Linked DNA regions of Sus scrofa. The main gene of each other region encodes a partner of the protein of the gene in region 2 in a complex. Links are inferred from orthologs where the notes say so. Each region holds a gene or a part of one and is shown on either strand. Other genes may lie near its edges.

Region 1 (10,098 bases), on a different chromosome or scaffold from region 2:
GGGGGAGTGGGTCGAGCAGCCCCTGGGGGCACTCCTTCCCGAAGCCTCATGTCCACTACCCCCCCAAGAGGGGGCTCCTTCCCCGGAAAGTCATTATAGTACTGATGGTCAGGCGGCTCTTCCTCCTCCTCATCCCAAGCTGAGCCATCGAAGCCAGCCATCCTGGGAGGGACAGGAAGGAGAGAGGCACGTGGGAGGGAGGACGGAGGGAGAAGAGAACAGCGGCCATGGACTGCGCAATCCCTGAGGGGCAGGCTTGACGTGGGGTGTTTTATATATGGAATCATGTCCTCCTCCTGGCAACCCTAGAAGGTAGGTTTCATTTCCTTCTCCGATTTTGTAGATGAGGAAAATGAGGGAGGGTCGGGGGTGAAAAGATTTACCCTGGTCTCCCAACTAAAAATTGGTGAAGGGAGTTCCTGTCGTGGTGCAGTGGAAACGAACCCGACTAGGAACCATGAGGTTGCCGGTTCGACCCCTGGCCTCGCTTAGTCGGTTAAGGATCCGGTGTTGCCGTGAGCTGTGGTATAGGTCACAGACGAGGCTCGGATCCTGCGATGCTGTGGCTGTGGCCGTAGGCTGGCAGCAACAGCTCCAATGAGACCCCTAGCCTGGGAACCTCCATCTGCCATGGGTGTGGCCCTAAAACAAACAAACAAACAAAAAAAAAGTGGTGAAGGAGTTCCTGTCGTGGCTCAGTGGGAACGAACCCGACTAGTATCCATGAGGATGCAGGTTTGATCCCTGCCCTCGATCAGCGGGCTAAGGATCCAGTGTTGCTGTGGTTGTGGCGCAGGCCGGCAGCTACAGCTCTGATGCTACCCCTAGCCTGGGAACCTCCATATGCCACAGGTGTGGCCCTCAAAAGACTAAATAAATAAATAATTTAAAAAATTAAAAAATAAAATAAAAAGTGGTGAATCTGAGAGACATAAGTTCAAATTTGACTTTAGAGGCATGCCCTCGATCGTTATGCTGTCTCCCAAGAGGGAGGGGAAGCAGCACCACTATTTGGGGTGCTCCACCTACAGCATATGGAGGTTCCCAAGCTAGGGGTCAAATTGCACCTGGAGCTGCCGGTCTACACCACAGCCATAGCAATGCCAGATCCAAGCCATGACCTACCCCGCAGCTCACGGCAACGCCGGATCCTTAACCCAGAGACAGAGGCCAGGGACTGAACCTGAATCCTCATGGATACTAGTCGGGTTTGTTACCGCTGAGCCACAACAGAATCTCCCTCTGGAATATTTTAACCTCCCCTAAATTCTCAACACTGCTGGTCTGAAGTGGGAGAGGTAAGGATCTCAGGAAAGAGCCATGCTCCCTCGCCCAAATTCTTGATGGCTTCTAGGGGCAAGAAGGCACTAAATATGGAGAAATGGGCAAGAGAGAGGGACAGGCCAGAAAGAGATGGCTGGGACTAGGAAAGCCCATCCAGCCAGGAAGAGCTGGAGCGGGCGGCCCTGGACTACAGCTCCAGCACGGGCACCCGAGAGGAAGAGCTGGCCTGGCAGCAGGCAGGGCCTCGAAAGGCCTTCCCCATGGCCTCAGGAAACGTAAGAATAGCAGGAAGTGGGAAGCAGGGGCTCACAGGTTATTTCCTTCCCTGCTCCTCTCTGAGCTCAAGCGTGGGAAGAGCAGACCTACTTTTCCAATTCCGGTCCCAGCCCGAGAGCTGCCCCCCCCCACCGCTCGCCTGCTCACCTGTCATGAGGGGTGACCAGCTTGGGCGGGTTCCTGAGGTATTGTTTGAAGCGCAACTCAAAGGCCTGGCCAATGGTGCTGATGACGTCCTGAGCAAGCCCTTCGGGACACTCCAGGATGTGGCAGGCTGGGGGCACAGCAGAGGCTGTCAGGGAACTCGGGGGGAAGGCGGGGGGCACGCACAGACGGGGCCCTCGCCCTCATTCTCCGCAGCAGGAGCCCCTGCTGAGCTCCCGGGTCCTGCTCACCTGTCTCTCTGACAGCCGGCCCCACCCAGCGCTCCCCACCACGCCTCACCTCTCTGATTCACCGGGTCTTTGGCAACATAGGCGACATATTCGGCTGTGTCCTGGGGTAGACAGAATCAGAAGAGGCCAGTTAGCTCAACGGTAGAGCCCCACCTCAGTCCTGACCCCTCAAACCCGGCCCTAAGCAGCTATTGCCTCGGTCCTAGCACACTCACCTCTCTAGCCAGTTTTCCCCCCCCCCATCCCAAGCCCCTCTCTCCTCTCCCACCACCTTGGTGCACTCCCCGACTCACCGGGTCCCCGCCGGACGCAAACGAGATGGATTGCATATGGTGGTTGGCGATGATCTGAGGGTTAGGGCAGAGGATGGAGAAGGAAGGGAAGGACGGGTGTCAGGCAGCCTGAGGGTCCACTGGGCACCCCCCACCACTGGCCCGGGACCCCAGCGTCCCTTTGGCTTCTCAACCCATGTCCTCCTAATCTACACCTTCCCTACAGCTCTGCTGCGCCCAAGGCTTCTCTGCTAAGTTCTTGCCCTCGTGGCCAGGTTCCCACTGAGCCTTCCCATCGGTGTTTCTGCACGCCCTCACCCCCCGCCCTGACCCTGACTCCACCCCACCAACCTGTTTGCAGTCTGCGGCCATGAGGTTGAGGCTGCTGGTGGAGACGGTGAGAGTGATTGGCATTCCAGCAAATTTCAGGTTACTCCTCCCCAGGATGGAGCTGAGTGGGCGGCCACAGGGCTGGGGAAGGGCCCCAGGTCTCAGAAGCTGGGAGATCCCACACCAGGAAACCGCCCGCACTCCTGCCCTTCTCCCCACACGCGCCACACTAGCCTTGCCCCTGCTCCTCCGCATCTCCCGGCAGCATCCCCCGTGCCGTGGACCCCAGGTACCTTTCTCCTCCTTGTCGCCCCCTTCGCACCCGGCACAGCCTCACACACCAGACTGATGGCCTCCCTGGGGAAAGAGGGGTACTCAGACCCAGAGCCTGCCTCCCACTCGGCTGGGGCTGCCACAGGGCTGGGGGAGGGGAAGGCCAGGCCAGACTCCAGGGGCACTCCAGGCTCTTTGTCGTGGTGGATTGAATTAAGGGCCTTTAATATTTGATGACACTGAGAGGCCGCTTCCTGGCTGATTGGGTTAGGGCCTCAGTGGGTCTGGCCCCACCCCCTTCCAGCTACCAAATGTCCCAGCCCCTTCCCAAAGGCGGTGGTGGTGGTGGTGGTGGTGGTGGCGGCAGTGGTGGTGGCGGCGGTGGTGGCGGCGGCAGCGGCGGGCAGCAACCTTCCATCTACCCCCATTTTCCACTCAAGCTCCAGCTGCCAGCTGCCTCTGCCACCTCCCCCACAACTCCCCAGGCTGGATACGTAGAAGGAGCCGGGTCAGAGTTGTCTCTTTTCATTGAGACTTAGACTGACTCTCCTACCTGTCTCTAAATCGCCTTCCCCACCCAAAGACAAGCCAGCACTAGCCACCACCACCAAGCGACCCCCTCCCGGCCTGAATGCCAGGAGCCCTGCGCTCTCGGCCCCGCCTCCCCACGAACCTGGTGACCTGAGTCCGGGTGTTGAAGTCCAGGGCGCGCATCGACTGCAGGACCTCCACACAGCCCATGTACTGAGGGGAGGGATGCGAGGAGGAGAGTCAGCCGCCCCCCTCCAGCCTCTTCACAAAGGGCCGTAGGACTCTGCCCTACGTGGTCCCTCAGGGAAGAAGAGATGAAGTTCTGCCCCGCTGCCCGTGGCTCCATCCCACAGAGTGCAGGACAATAGGGGGTGAGGAGAGAAGGGCGAGCTAGGAGGACCTCCTGCACAGTGGGGGGTGGGGGGAGGGAATTTGGAGGGGAGCGACAGGCCCTGGCTGGGATGGAGTGACAACTCCAGAAAGGGGGAGCAGACTGGAGGGGAGTCACTCAAGAGCCACTCATTCCAACACTTACTAAGGGCCTGTCCTGGGCTTTGTGCTGAGCATGGCAGGCTGGGGGTAGGGGTGGGGGAGTCGCAGGACCCAAGGGGACCCAGACAGAGCTGGAAGAGAAGGGGCTACAGAATCAGAGAAGGCGCACAAAAGGCTTAAGAAACAGGACACGGAAACCAAGGGAGTTGCTGGGGAAAAGAAGGGGCGAAAAAGAGAGACTCATGAGCAGAGGAACTGAAGGGGTCAGGGAGGGAGGACGCTCACTCACCCGAACCAAGTAGGAAACCCCGGGTCCCATGACTTTGTCGTTGGGATGCAGCCAGCCCCGCGTGGGCTTATTGACGAAGCTCCCGTGGCGGGTCCACTCCTCGCCCCCCAGCTGGCCCCCTTCCACCCGAGTCCTGCGCCCGCCGCCTCCACTCAGCTTGTTCATGTCCTGGAGGAAGGGTAGGGGGCCCGAGTCGGGTACAGCTGCCCCGACGGTCCCCTCCCCATCCTCGGCTGCCCTTCCTGGCTCCCCCTTCGGCCCTGGGCGCCCCCCAGCTGGGTTGGCCAGCTTCAGGTTGCTCATCCGGGGGAAGAAGGAGCACAGGGTGGTGGGGCTGTCGTCCCCTGGCAGAGGTGGCAGCATGGGCCCCAGGGACGAGGCTGACGGGGAAGGCAGCTCCTCTGGTGGAGTGGACCCTGAAGCCCCCTCCTCCAGCGATGACAGAGACTCATTCCGAAGTGGGTTGTACTTGGGCTTGGGGGGCAGGAGATCCATGGCTGGAGTGAGAGGGAGGCTGCTGCCCAGCCTGGCCCCCCTGCCAGTCAGGGCAAGGGGGCCAGGCAGGGGGCATCCCCAGGCCCTTAGCCTGATCGGACCTCTGTGGCCCAGGGGTCTCAAGGGTCCTGGGGAGGGAGAGGGACAAGTGGCTCTGGCTCCCGCGGCTCAGACCCAGACAGTTCCAGGCCCCATCTCTGCCCAGCGTGGAGCCTCTTCTCTGGCTGAGAGGAGAACAGGCTGGACCTAGAGCTGCCTGGCTCCTCCCCAGGGGCGGGGAGCAAAGGGGAGAGACCAATCCCGTGGACAGTGCTGACTCACAGGCTCTGAGGGGCTGAGCCCCCAACACCGCCCCAACCTAGAACTCTTTCGGGGCAGAGTGCACCGTGCCCCCACCGCCCGCCCCACCCCCGTCCCCCCCCCCGCCCCCACCCCGGCCCACCCCGTACAAACAACATGTAATCTAGGGAGGAGTAGAGTGGGATTGGAAGGGAAGGATGGAGGGGTGAGAAGGAAAGGAGGGCGATAAGAGGAGGTCTGGATCAATCCAAACCGGACATGGGCAGGTCAAAGGGAGCAGGAAGCTGGTGGGGGGAGTGGGGAATGAGGGAGGAAACAGAGGCAGCTGGGGGTGGGAAAGGGAGGGGATCCCTGAGCTCAGCATTTCCCTTCCTGTCCTGGTCGAACACTCAGATTCCCTCATCCCCCAGCACCCCCTAGTCTCGGTCATTAGCATCCTCCGCTGCAACAGCCGGGGAGGGAGCTACAGAAATGGGAAAAGGAAGGACATGGTCCCGGTGGATGCAGAGAGGGGCCAAGGGGAAGGGCAGAGCTGGTGAAGTAAGGGAATGAAGTCCCTTACTTCATCATCATGATGGGTGTTGCATCAGGGAGCCACCAGGCAGGAGCCGGAGCAGACGACAGGCTGGTGGAGGCTTGTTCTCTGCATGGCGTCTACCATGCCAAGGAGCAGCAACTCATGCCAGGCACCCTTCTGCAGCCCCCCACCACTTTCCGCAGCCAAGCAAGTTATCAAGGGTAGGAGGGGTGGGGGCTGCCAGGGCACTGACACTAACGTCAGTGCCCTGGACCTGCAGGTAAGCTCCTACCCCTCCTCTGGCCGTAGGGACCCTAGAGAGTACAGGTATCCACCACAGAGCCCGAGGCCCCACCCCGCCAGGGGCAGCGTCTGGCTGGGGAGGGGAGAGTGAAACAGTTCTCCAAGAGGAGGGGGACGGGGGCTACAGGCCACGAAGGGATAGGGTAGGCAGAAGACCAATCTGTGCCAAGGGGAAAGGAGTGCCAGGAAAAGGAGGACTGAGGCTGGACACAGGAAACAGTCTCAAACCCATTCCTTCCACCCACAGCTTCACGCCAGCTCTGCTCGAGGGGGCCATGGAGGCAGCTGGAAAGTGACCAAGAAATAAAGAGTGAAAGATATATATAGCCCCCCAGGCTGGCCTCGGAATATCTATCCTTAAATTTATCTCCCAGGATAAAAAGACAGCAAATAATCATAGGATTATAGTGATCAACAGCACCAGCACTTCGAACGTGTCAGACACTGTGCTTATCACCTCCTCTTGGTCCACAACGGAGGAGAGCTTTGCCACTCCATTTGCCACTCCTGGGAAGAAACTCTATGGCTCTCTTTCCTAAGGCCTCAGCTCCCAGGCCTAGAGAGAATGAAGAAAGTATGCTGCCGGAGCCTCACACCTTCCACACACACAAACACACACCAGGATGTGCTCATCTTCAGAGGCAGGCATTTGGTGGCTGCCTGCAGGATCCAGAGGTCGTGGATGACCAACAGGTGTGGGCATCGTCAGACAAAAGAGAGGAAGCAGGGCTCTTTAAATTTACGTAGGAAGAAAAGAGATTGCTACTGAGAGTCCTGGCCTCTGGGTGTGGGGAAGAAGCTGCGTGTGGCGCCTCAGCCCAGTAGGGAGGAGGAGGCAAGAGCGGCGGAAAGTAGCAGGAAATGGCGAAAGCCTCAGGAATGTTTCCAGAAGGGAAGGCTGGGCAAGCGGGAAAGAGGAATGCCCAGACTAGAACTCTGGTTAGGGGGAAGGGAAGAGCCAGAGAAATGCTGCGGCCTGAGGAGGCCCTTAAAAAAAAAAAAAAAAAAAATCAAAGAGCAAAAAGGACACTGTTCCCTAACCCACTGCAAGCCACTTTCTGGTGATAGAAAATTTGCGCTTCTGTCACACCCACATGTCGCACATCAACAAATCCATGGCCCTACCCAGCTCCCGACGATGACCACGACGACGACGATGGACAGGTATGAGACAAACAGCTGTTTCTGGGGTGGAGTCGGTCCTGGGAAGGGAAACTCAGGGAGTGGGGTTGGGAGTCTATGAGCAAGTCTCCCTCCCGCTCTCGTGCCAAACCCCAAGTCCAGCCCCCTACAAGTAGGTCCACCCTTGTAAGGGGATAAGGACAAGGGCTGCCTCTAATCTCTTACTTCTCAGAACCAGAGATGTGAACTTTTGCCTTCCTACCCGGTGGAGCATGAGAGCTCAGGAAAATTGAGCTAGAGGCCCCAAAGAGAAAAAGAACAGGGAAATGTAAGCAGGTGACGTTCCAGGGGCTGAAGACAAAGCTCCCCAGGCGATGACCTGGGACCTACAGGGATAAAGATCTTGAGGGGGCGTGGTCCCTTAGGACGCGTGCATCAGAGATTTCCAGGAGGCCAGGCTTCTGGGCGATCAGACGTGGATTAGGGAAGGGGCGGAGCTTCTAGAGGGGCGGAAACCCTAGAGAGGAGTGGCTTCACGAATTCAAGCAGATCTTTGAGGGGCAGGGCTTTGCCCTTTGGGGAGATAGGCTTTTTGACAGACAGGAGTTAGCGGAGAATCGTCGCGAGGCGGGGTTTCGGGTAATTGGAAAGACTTAACGTTGGGTTTCTAGGAGTAAGGCTTGGAAGCATGTCTAGGGGTGGGACTTCCAGGAAAGCTGGGCGACGGGGTGGGGTCGGGGACAATAAACGGAAAATAAGTCGGGGTTCAGGGAGCCCCCTGAAGTTGGGAGGTGGGACTTCCGGGGAGGGGGTCGCAGGGGGCGGGACTTATAAATGAAGACCGGAAGTAGGGTCCCGGGAGAGGGGTTCCGGGGTGGAGGGGAGGTTCGCCTAAGGAGAAAAAAAAAGGTCCCAACTCACCAGGGCTTCATGGGGTCTCCGCACCGCACCGCGGGTCGATTTGGTTCCGGATCACGCCACTGCCTCCTTAGGTCGCCGCTCCAACTTTCTCCCCGGGCCCGGCCTCCCTGGAGAAACTTTATTGCACTCACTTCCGGCCTTACTAACCCCTGACCCTCTACCTCATCGTCCCTCCTTCACCCGTCCCACTTTCCCAAATCAGCCAATGATGCGCGAGAACGCTCACAGGGCAGTGATAGCCTATAAGAGGCCTATTTTTGCCCTACGTTTTTCTTTAGAAACTTAAGCAGTGCACTCCAATAAGGACCTGAAGAGAAGCAAATCTAAGCCAATCGAAGGCTTGGAAGTGGAGTTGTCCCGCCTTCCGCCAGGCGGACCAATAGGAAGCGCGGGCGGCGTGTTTGAAAGCGAGGCCAAAGAGGGTGGGAGCGCGTGCTGCTGGGAGTTGTTTGGAGGTTGGCGGTGCGGTGTTGACGGTCCTCTGGCAGAGCGATCATGTCGCACAAACAAATTTACTATTCGGACAAATACGACGACGAGGAGTTCGAGTACCGGTTAGTGCCGGCGCGGGGGCAGTATCGAGGTGGTGAGCTTTGACAAGTGTGGGCACGAGGAATTAGTAACAGGGACCGAAGGTATAGAGTCGGCGCATGCGCAAGAGGTTAACGGGAATGGGTGTGCGCTTTGAGCGTAAGGCGCATGCGCTAAGGGTAGGGGGTCGCTCAAAAAAGCCTAAAAGTGGTAGTGAATTTGTAGTAAGCTCTCCCGTGGGGAGGAGGCGTAGGTGGGCGTGGTTAGAGTGCTGACCATCCCCACTCTTGAGGGTTTCTGGATCATTCTCTCCAATTTGCTCAGCAGATTGAACTTGACTTCTTGAGACTGCTTGTATCACCGCAACACCACAGAGCCTCTGGGGTCGGGAGAAGCTCGAATTTTCCTCGCCTCTTCAAAGTGAGGGGAGTTCTGAGAGAGCCTGAGTGGTGTTCATTAATTCTTGGAAAAGGAGCGTGGTTGTCTGGCTTGTTTTATAGGAAGGGGGCTTTGAAGATCAGGAGTGGAATAAAACTGGCCAGAAGCATTGAGTAAAGACTTAATACGGACCTAATAGATGACCTTCAAATATTTGAAGGGCATCTACTTGGGAAACAGCTTATAGGTTTCAGATGTTGTGCTAAAGTGCAGGGATAAGCCATGGTGCCTGCTTTCACCAAAACTTTTTTAAGTCTGTGGAAATACTCAGAAGGTGGTACTTGGCATGATAGAACTTTGTACAGGCTGTGATGGGAGCAGTAGGACTTGCCAAGCACAGCGAAGAAAGTGAGTCGCTCCAGAGTTTGCATTTGATAAATCCTAACCATAATTCTAGATTAGAAAATTAGGGAAGAAAAGGAGTTCTGCAAATGTTGGCATTCCACCAATCTGTGTTAATTGTAATACTTAAAACACCTGGAAGCTTGGTTGTTTTGTATTTCTTCTGCAGCCTAGTGCAGGGCTCTGGGCCCTCTGGAGAACTTGGAGTGTGCCAACAAATACATAACTATATGTATGCCACATGGTTGGGAAAAGACCCCGAGCCCTGTTTGGACCTAATTAACTTTCTTTTCCTCACCTGTTTTCCTCTCCATCTAAAGGAGGCTAACTAAAATTAGGTGCTTATAATTTATAAGGGCTAGGGGAACATCACTAGTTTCCTCCCCTGGAATATGTAAGACTTGGCAGTGATACCTGGTTTAAGAGAAGAGGTTTTATTATGTGTTGCTTTTTTTATTTGTTTTTTGGGGCTATTGGGATTTTTTTTTGTCTAAATGGGTATGGAAGCCAGTCTTTACTCCAGGGACTTATTAGGATGTAAGCTATTTTCAAATATTTAGACTAGAATGGACTCTTTGGGGTTCCCGTTGTGGTTCAGCGGTCATGAACCTGACTAGTATCCATGAGGATGCAGGTTCAATCCCTGGCATCGCGCAGTGGGTTAAGGATCTGGCATTGCCATGAGCTGTGGTTTAGGTCCCAGACGCTGCTCTGATCCTGAGTTGCTGTGGATGTGGCAGCTTTCATAGGCCACAAGTGAGGCTCTAAAAAGAAAAAAAAAAAATGTCTCTTTGGAGAAAAAAAAAATCTGTTAGCACAGAGAGAGCATTCGGTACATTTTCATTGAACATGCTAAAGTCTGTCTGGGTCAGCCCAATCCAAATCAGAATAGTAACTTCTTTGCCATGAAAGGGACTTATGCTTGATTAGGAAAGCATGCAGTTTCCCAAAAGAAATCTCATGGCACATCCCTTCAGAGTTAGGAAA
Region 2 (9,396 bases):
GCTCACGGCAATGTGGGATCCTTAACCCACTGAGCGAGGTCGGGGATCGAGCCCACAACCTCATGGTTCCTAGTCGGATTTGTTTCCGCTGTGCCACAACTGGAACTCCTTGAGGCATTTGATTTTGACTTCACAATTAAATCAAGAATTTAAGAATGTACCTTCTACATGCAAGACGTGTTGGGTACAGTGGGATTCAGAGAAGGGAGGGACATAGTTCCTGCTTTTAATAGAGTCTGAAGTGTAGTAGCTGCCGGCATTTCTGTGACTCAGGGTGGTGGACCCTTCAGACCCAGAGGATTAGACAGATGGGGATTTTGAGAGGGTGGCAACGTTTAGAATGGAAAAGGAAAGGTTCAAAATAGGAAGTCAAGGAGCTCCCGCTGTGGCGCAGTGGTTAACGAATCTGACTAGGAACCATGAGGTTGCAGGTTTGATCCCTGGCCTTGCTCAGTGGGTTAAGGATCCGGCGTTGCCGTGAGCTGTGGTGTAGGTCGCAGACAGGGCTCGGATCTGGTGTTGCTGTGGCTGTGGTGTAGGCTGGCAGCAACAGCTCCGATGAGAGAGACCCCCTAGCCTGGGAACCTCCATATGCCATGGGAGCGGCCCTAGAAAAGGCAAAAAGACAGGGAAAAAAAAAAAAAAAAAAAAAAAAAAAAGGAAGTCAAGAGATTGAAAGAGGAATAGAAGTGCAAGGGGAGAGGAGACGGGACCAGGGCTTTCAAGTTTAGTTTGATCAAGAAGTTACTTCATTCCGACTGTGTCCAACTTTACTTAAGTCTTAGAGGGAGAAGAGGAGAAAGAATTAACGTCTTTCTACCTTGCAGATGATTCGAAGAGTTTCTCCGTCCAAGTCCGGCAGGTGGAGGATTACCCTGTGGACATCTACTACTTGATGGACCTGTCTTTCTCTATGAAGGATGATCTGGAGAGCATCCAGAACCTGGGTACCAAGCTGGCTTCCCAGATGCGTAAGCTCACCAGTAACCTGCGGATTGGCTTCGGGGCCTTTGTGGACAAGCCTGTGTCACCTTACATGTACATCTCTCCACCACAGGCCCTCAAAAACCCCTGCTATGAGTAAGTCTCTCCTCTAGAAGCCAGCAAAACATCCTTCCCCTCTGCCCCAGGCAGGTCCAAGTCCTGCTCCCTATTTCTAGTTCTAGAGTGGCTTTGTTGCCTGCCTTCTGGACAAATGATATCTCCTCTCTACCTTGGTCTTCCTGCCTGGCAAGTGCCAACCCATTGATCTAAAATGTTATATTAATAGAGTCTAAGGCTGTTTGGAGACCTAGAAAGAAAAATTCATCAGCTTCTTGGTTTTGGTCATAAATAAAGAGTAGACAAGTGAGAATAGGAGGGAAATGAGATCAAAAGTAGAGAGAAATTTATGGAAAGGTAAATAGAGGAATTACGGTTTCAGAAGGATTGGTTCCACTGTTATTGTCATCACTGTCCTCATTATCAAGACTACGAGGTCTTCAGAGTTAAAATGCAAGGAATTAAGTCCTAGAGGAACATAAAAGGGTGGAAATGAGGGAGTTCCCATTGTGGCTCAACAGATTAAGAACTCAACTAGTATCCATGAAGATGCAGGTTCTATCCCTGGCTTCACTCAGTAGGTTAAAGGATATGGCATTGCCATGAGCTATGGTGTAGTCTGCAGACACGGCTTGGATCCGGTGCTGCTGTAGGCTGGCAGCTGCAGCTCTGATTTAATTCAGCCCCTAGCCTGGGAACTTCCATATGCCACAGCTGTGGCCCTAAAAAGAAAAAAAAGAGTGGAAATAATATTTATTGAATTCTCTAATAGCATAAATTGATGTGTCCCTCTGTTGAGACTTTGGCTTACAACTGAATGGCTTATTTATTTAATTGGCAGAGACTAAGAAAATTCATGGGTTATAATTTTGAATGAGCCTGACAAGGTATGAATTTACTTTGTAGAGTTGGAAGTTATATGGTACCTTCTGTCTGTGTTGTAAGTTTCCCCAGTAAAGATGTCAGCCATCAATTAAACGGATAAACCATTGAGCTGGGGACAGAAATGCTCCTGTTTGGCCCAGATCTATCAGTTTATTGATAGCTCAGGGCCAGTAAGTTATTGCCAAACTTTTACTTAATTGTTGTGTTAATGTTACTTTAAAGAAGTAAGTATGAGGTGATAGCAATATCAACTAGAGCCTCACTCTGATCTAAGATCTTTACATACATTAACCAGTTTAAGCCTCCCAACAACTCTTATGAGATATGTTCTGTCATGTCCTCAATTTTTTAGAGGTTAGGTATAGAGAAGCTTGCATAGGGTCCCATGACTAGTAAGTGAAGGAGCTGGGATTTGAACCCAGGCAATCTGATTCCACAGTTCACTCTCTTATCCTCTGAGCTAGCCAGAAGTAAAGTCAGTGTGATGCTTTAGGTAATTTGAAGGATTTGGAGTCTAAGCTGTCTGGGTAATTGTAGTTGTATAGAGCTGGCCTGGGCAAACCACTCTCCCAATCTGTCCCCCTCTTTTCCCCTCCTACTCCTTTTCCATCAGCTGTCTGCTTAAATGATCTCCTTTCCTCCCTAGTATGAAGACCACCTGTTTGCCCATGTTTGGCTACAAACATGTGCTCACACTAACTGACCAGGTGACCCGTTTCAACGAGGAAGTGAAGAAGCAGAATGTATCACGGAACCGAGATGCTCCAGAGGGTGGCTTTGATGCCATCATGCAGGCTACTGTCTGTGACGTGAGTTTAGAGGGCATGGAGTGCCCAGTGTGATTGGCCCAGATCAAAATGGGGCAGGAAGAGGCTCAACTGTGGGAATGTCTGTGTGAAATAAGAGATAGGAACCAAGCAGAACTTCGTACATTATGAACCAGAAGTTCTGATATGCAGTCTCTGCTTGTATCTGCTCCATGGTGAGAACTGTTATGTTTTGGAACCTTAGTGGTCTCCGATGTTTCCTGAAGAGAGCATCTCCCCACCTTCTCTGGAAGTGTCAAGGCTGGGTTAACTCATCTCAGCAAAGGGGCAGATGTTCAGATGGGATTTTTTTTTTTTTGTCTTTTTGCCATTTCTTGGGCCGCTCCCGCGGCATATGGAGGTTCCCAGGCTAGGGGTCTAATCAGAGCCGTAGCCACCAGCCTATGCCAGAGCCACAGCAACTCGGGATCCGAGCTGCGTCTGTGACCTACACCACAGCTCACAGCAACACCGGATCATTAACCCACTGAGCAAGGGCAGGGACTGAACCTGCAACCTCATGGTTCCTAGTTGGATTCATTAACCACTGCGCCACAATGGGAACTCCCAGATGGGATTTTTTTCCTAGCCTAGCCCTGCTCTGCAGATGCAGGTGGGTTTCTAGATGGGCCATGTAATTATCATTGAAAAAGTTATATTTGGGAATTCCCTGGTGGTGCAACCAGTTAAGGATATGGTGTTGTCACTGATGTGGCTCGGATTGCAGAGATCTCTGGCCCAGGAACTTCCATGTGCCACAGGCATGACCAAGGGAAAAAAAAAAAAAGAATAAAAAAAAGAAAAAGTTATTTTTGGAGTTGATGTATGTGTCTTTCAGCTGCTTAAACTATTTAGCTATGAGCCTATTTTCCCAAGAGAACAGAAACCCCTGAGTTGGAAAGCTTCAGCTTGTGTTCTAAGGAGTGGGACTGAGGCCCTTCTCCAAGACAATGCCTCAGGCAGGGAGCTCCTTAGGTCTTCGTTTTCTACCAGCGACATGGCTAAAGCTGCTCTCTCTCTTTTGCCATTTTTTGAACAGGAGAAGATTGGCTGGAGGAACGATGCATCCCACTTACTGGTGTTTACCACTGATGCCAAGACCCATATAGCGCTGGATGGAAGGCTGGCAGGCATTGTCCAACCCAATGATGGACAGTGTCATGTTGGCAGTGACAACCATTACTCTGCCTCCACTACCATGGTGAGATTCTTGGTACCATGTGTGCCCCCTCTTCACTCTGGCCAGGACTGCTCAAACCCAGGCAGGGTCTTTGTGTGACTATGAAAATGACAGCCCTTCCTGTGGGCCGGGTGCAGGGCTTTGTTCAGCCTGCCCTCAATTCTCCCACCTACTGGATACCCTCATCCAGGGTACAACCTGCACAACCATTAGAGATGGTCCTGGCTGTGATCAGTGTTTCCACTTCCTCCAGCCCCAGCAGCAGCATCGTGGCTTCCAGAATGGGCCCAGAGGACTTCTGCAGGTCCAGTGGAGAGCAGGCTGTCCTGTCTGGTGTGTGTGGATTAGCCCCTTCTTGGAATATCAGGCTCACTTGTGGTTACTGGAAGAAGACAGAGGAAAAAGAGACAGAGATCGTCAAAAGCATGAAGGGCCAGTCCTGCGAGGATGGGTTAAAGGGCTCAGAGTCATTCAACTGGAAGACTATACGATGGTTTAGCTGATACATGAGACGACTTTAAAAAAAAATTATTTATTTATTTAATGGTTTTTAGGAAAGCCTGCAGCATATAGACGTTCCCAGGCTAGGGGTCAAATCAGAGCTGTAGCTGCCAGCCTGCGTCACAGCCACAGCAACATGGGATCTGAGCTGCATCTGCGACCTACACCACAATTCACAGCAATGCCGGATCCTTTAACCTACTGAGTAAGGCCAGGGATCGAATCTGAGTGTCCTGGATACTAGTCACGTTCGTTACCACTGAGCCCACGATGGGAACTCCTAAAAATTTATTTTTTATTGAGGTAACATTTGTTTATAACACTATGTGAGTTTCATGTATATAACACTATTTTTCTACTTCTGTATACATTACAGCATGCTACCACCAAAAATCTAATTTCCATCTGGCACCACACAGTTGATTCCCTTTACCCATTTTGCCCTCCCCCTCAGCCCCTTCCCTTCTGATAACCACTAGTTTATTTGAGAGGACTTCTTATAAGTTGTTTTCCATGTCCATAGAAGGTTAAAAGAAAAGTTTACATTGAAACAAGAGGAACTGCAGTAAACCATGAAGAAAATGTATAGACCGGCAGAAGGCTGAGTATCTAGGAGCAAGTGTGAATGCTTTTGAAACTGACAGCACTAATGACCTGAACCTGGCCAGAACACAGATTGGGACTTGAACCCACTTGCCAGGACTTAAACCCAGCCAAAATCTAGGTCAGGACTTGAACACAAGTGCCAGGACTCAACCCAGCCTAAAGCCAGATTGGGACTTAAACCCATAGTTTTCTTTCTTTCTTTCTTTCTCTCTTTCTTTCTTTCTTTCTTTCTTTCACAATGATCATCACAATCCAATTTCACAGGATTTCCATCCCACATCCTAAGCACATCCCCCCACCCCCCAAACTGTCTCCTTTGGAGACCATAAGTTTTTCAAAGTCTGTGAATCAGCATCTGTTCTGCAAAGAGGTTCAGTCTGTCCTTTTTTCAGATTCCACATGTCAGTGAAAGCATTTGATGTTGGTGTCTCATTGTATGGCTGACTTCACGTAGCATGATAATTTCTAGGTCCATCTGTGTTGCTAAAAATGCTGGTATTTCATTCCTTTTAATGGCTGAGTAATATTCCATTGTGTATATGGACCACCTCTTCTTGATCCACTCCTCTGTCGATGGACATTTAGGTTGTTTCCATGTCTTGGCTATTAAACCCATAGTTTTAAATTTGAGTTACTTACACCGTGTCTGGACTCAATAAGGTTCAGGTTCTTTATGCCTCAGTGCAGAAGGAATTCAGCAAGAGACAAAGTGATAGGCAAGAAACAGATTTTTTAAGATAGGATACTTGTAAGAGATGCATGCAGGTAGGCAAGGAAGCTCTGCCCCCAGGATCTCATGGGTTGCAGTTTTATAATCCAAGGGGAGTGGGGTGTTGGAAAGGCCCACCTCTTCCTTGTTGGGAGTAGTAGCTCCTCCTTAGTATCCAGTAAGGTGTGTATTCAAATCAGCTGAAGGGCGGTCCTCAAACTCTTGCCCTTGGTTTGAATCAGAATGCAGGCCTCATCCCTCCCCCACCCAACGACCTGAGGCAATTCTTGCACCTCCACTAGTCAAGCAAGCCTGCCTTGTTCTGGTGGCTTTCTTGAACTTATAGTGGTCTCCCAGCATCCCCCAGGTTTCCCTCTTTATCTGCGATCCCCTATTGGGACTTCTACAACCACCTGTGCCTACTCCATCCCTATCACTTTGTCTTTTAAAGACAGTGTAGCAGCTACTTCATCTAGGTAGCTTAAAGGTACACCTGTGTAAAGGCAGGAGTCTGAGCTGGATGATCTCATGAGTCCCCTACAAGGTCCAGGATCTTAGGGACATGTTCACAGTTCACCAGCATTCCCACTGTGGCTTGAGTTCCTTGGTGTCAGCCATATCCAAGTTGAGTACAACTAGGCAATGGATGAGTCCATAATCATTGACACCTTGTCTATGCAGGGCCTTGCCAGGGGATGAGGCAGATAAAGACACTATATAAGGTTCCCAGCCTTAGAGAGTTTTTGGTTTAGTTGAGATGTGGTACCAGTAACACAAGATGTGGTACCAGTAACACAAGATGCATGGTTAATGCTAACTGGGTAGAGAAGTTAGTAAGGGCTTTAGGTATTTTAAGGAGGAAAGCTCATCATGAACTGGGATGGAACTGGGAAGGCCTCCTGGAGAAGGTGGGACCTGAGCTGGGTCCTAAGGAAGGAGGAAGATTAGCAAAAAGCCCACTCCAGGTGGGAGGATGAAAGTGGGCCAGCTGAGTGGTAAGTGGAAGGGGGAGAGAGGTGAATGATTGGAAAGGAAGGTTGAGATCGCATGACAGAGGATTGCGAGCACCAAGCCAGGGAATTTGTCAGTAGCTGCAAAACAGAAGGAAGCTTCAAAACAATGTGGCCTGGCAGCACCTGGCCCACAGAAGCTGCTCTTGGTGTGAATGCATCAAATTCAAGTAAGAAGAAGGTGCTTAGTTTTGGCACCACCAGCCTGTACCTCTTCATTTATCTCTGGAGTTCACAACTTACTTACTTTGTGTTTGCGTCACGCTGATTATGGGTGAACAAGTTTAAGCCTTACCATGGTCTGAGCCACAGCTCATATTAGCTAAGACCTAAGAATTCAGGGATGTATGTGAAGAGACGTCTTAACTAACCTCCACACCCTCCCTTTTTACAGGATTATCCCTCTCTGGGGCTGATAACTGAGAAGCTATCCCAGAAAAACATCAATTTGATCTTTGCAGTGACAGAAGGTGTAGTTAGTCTTTACCAGGTGACTTTGCCCTCCTGGAGCGGGAGTGGGGCCTGTGATGGGTGGACCTGTCTCAGGGAACCAGTTCACAGTAGCTTCGGCCATGGTACCCAACCAGAAAAGATCCAGGAGCTGATAATTCCTCCTGGTGGCCTCTCTTCTCGAACCTTGAACCTAGCAGGGTGGGGGTATTGCTGTTTGCAGTGGTGGAGGGAAGTAATTTGGTGGGTGGGTGAGAGTGTGTGTGTATGTGTGTGAGAGAGAGGTTCTCTGTAATTTTTCTCAGGGCTGAAAAACTGCTAGATTTATTCCTAGCAGTGACAAGTAAAACATCCTCCCTTTTCCTCAATTTTCATTTCAAGACCCTCAGTCTGATTTGGGGAGGGCTTTTGGAGACCACTACCTTCATCCGTCATCCCCGGACATCTTTGTCTTCCTTTCTAGAACTACAGTGAACTGATCCCAGGGACCACAGTGGGGGTGCTGTCCTCCAATTCCAGCAATGTCCTCCAGCTCATTGTGGATGCTTATGGCGTAAGTGTCTTATGCCAGGAATAGGCCTGCTAAGAGTCCTTTTTACTTGGTGTTACCCTGGAGGGCTCAGATTTGAGAGTCCACCACGCAGCCTTCCCTGCCTTCCTTTTGTTCTTCTAGAGGCCATGTGATAACCAGCACTGGGAGGAAGGCAGCCTTCTGAGACAGAAACGGCTCAGAAAGGAGTGCCAGGGAGCCTTCGGAACAAAGGAGGAAGGGCTTAGGGAAGGTGGAAGGGAAAGTGGATGGGGCAGGTGAGGTACAGAGTGAGGGAGAGCTGGGCTCCAGCAATAGAGAAAGAAGGCAGCTGAACCACGGGGAATGCGAGGTCGATTAAAAATTATGTAGAAAGTGCTACTTTCCAAGGTGACCAGTGTTAGCACTCCAGTCTTGCATGACCCTGAGGCCTGCAGGAGGGCATAGCTGCTTTAGATTTTACCCAGATTCATCTAGACACAAGTGGAGAAAGAGCAGGTCCTGGGCAGGAAATAGAGCAGGAAATAGGGTCCCAGGGAAGCTCTGGCAGCTTCTAGGTGAACCTCAGCACCGGGCGTGACAGGTGAGTCTAGGACCACCTGGCAGGTTTTGCTTGAGATGGAATTGGCTCCTACTCATTTCATCTCAGCCCATTTTCTTATCTTCTCTTGCCCTTTTCTGATCAGAAAATCCGCTCTAAAGTGGAGCTCGAAGTGCGTGACCTCCCTGAGGAGCTGTCGTTATCCTTCAATGCCACCTGTCTCAACAACGAGGTCATCCCAGGCCTTAAGTCTTGTGTTGGACTCAAGATTGGAGACACGGTGAGGTGGGCTGGGTGGGGGCTAAAGCTGCAGCTTTAACCCTCCCTGTGCCCTGGAGTGTCCATGGGTACCCACCCATTCCTTCCCTGTACCTTCTTCCTGGACATCCTTACAAGTTAGATGTGGTAAAGCTGCCAGCCTTCTCCTCTGAGGCTTCTATTGCCTAATTCTTCTCTATCATTAAGTAACTTCAGGATTTTGAAAAACTTGTGTTTACATTACCTCTATTTATGCACCATTGATTGCAAATGAAAATATTTCTTACTTTCACCCTGCAACCAGTCTCCAGCACTGCACCCCCTGCAGTATATTTCTTTGCTTCACAGCATAAAATGACAGGGTCCTCTAAATACTTAGTGAGCACCGACTTTGTGCCAGGCATTGTTCTAGCTGCTGATGATTTGGCAGCAAATGGAATAGGCAAAAATACCCACCTTCATGGAATATCAGAATACAAATGTCCAGTCCCTCTGTGGCTTTCCTTTCTTAGTGGTTGGTTTTCTTCTGCTCCTGCCTTAGAGGAGAGGGGATGGTGAAGGGAGTGGGAAGAAAAAAGGGGGCTATCTATAGTTATATGATTTATATCATCTCTGTCTATATTTCTGTCATCATCTATCCATCCTTCCGTCTATACATTCTAGGTACGTGTGCACTCACCCTAGCAAGAGATAGTGGCCTGAAATGTATTCGATTGCACAAGCGATGAAATGTTATTCGATTGCACAAGCGATGAAATGTTAATGTGGCAATTGAACAGTAGACCCCGAACCTGTGGTTGGCTACTGTGTGGCATTGTGTAGTGCAAAACAGTGCTTTGTGTATCTTGATAATATTATGTAATCAGTTCTAGCTTAGTTG

Evidence for each region.
Region 1: the proteins of ITGB3 (region 2) and SHC1 are in contact, whole or in part, in an NMR structure (PDB 2L1C), measured with the Homo sapiens proteins. The link is inferred for Sus scrofa from reciprocal best matches to the Homo sapiens genes ITGB3 and SHC1. Residues at the interface, in NP_000203.2 of Homo sapiens: Trp765, Asp766, Thr767, Ala768, Pro771, Leu772, Tyr773, Lys774, Glu775, Ala776, Thr777, Ser778, Thr779, Phe780, Thr781, Asn782, Ile783, Thr784, Tyr785, Arg786, Gly787, Thr788; in NP_892113.4 of Homo sapiens: Ser175, Met176, Arg177, Asn182, Arg184, Thr185, Gln186, Thr188, Arg189, Glu190, Ser193, Leu194, Arg208, Arg209, Lys210, Arg214, Pro215, Leu216, Ser217, Ile219, Met257, Gln258, Ser259, Ile260, Ser261, Phe262, Ala263, Ser264, Gly265, Pro268.

What each region holds. Positions count from the first base shown.
Region 1 is NC_010446.5:94,817,729-94,827,826, reverse strand, and holds the start of SHC1 (SHC-transforming protein 1), read right to left. Parts: upstream 4,994-10,098; 5' UTR 4,638-4,993; coding exon 4,143-4,637; intron 3,575-4,142; coding exon 3,504-3,574; intron 2,915-3,503; coding exon 2,851-2,914; intron 2,699-2,850; coding exon 2,579-2,698; intron 2,303-2,578; coding exon 2,249-2,302; intron 2,057-2,248; coding exon 2,005-2,056; intron 1,835-2,004; coding exon 1,708-1,834; intron 163-1,707; coding exon 1-162. Other genes in the region: CKS1B (cyclin-dependent kinases regulatory subunit 1), read left to right, coding at 8,296-8,354. UniProt on the Homo sapiens protein: Signaling adapter that couples activated growth factor receptors to signaling pathways. Participates in a signaling cascade initiated by activated KIT and KITLG/SCF.
Region 2 is NC_010454.4:16,714,098-16,723,493, reverse strand, and holds part of ITGB3 (integrin beta-3 precursor), read left to right. Parts: intron 1-827; coding exon 828-1,080; intron 1,081-2,572; coding exon 2,573-2,735; intron 2,736-3,771; coding exon 3,772-3,933; intron 3,934-7,132; coding exon 7,133-7,228; intron 7,229-7,651; coding exon 7,652-7,741; intron 7,742-8,403; coding exon 8,404-8,538; intron 8,539-9,396. UniProt on the Homo sapiens protein: Integrin alpha-V/beta-3 (ITGAV:ITGB3) is a receptor for cytotactin, fibronectin, laminin, matrix metalloproteinase-2, osteopontin, osteomodulin, prothrombin, thrombospondin, vitronectin and von Willebrand factor.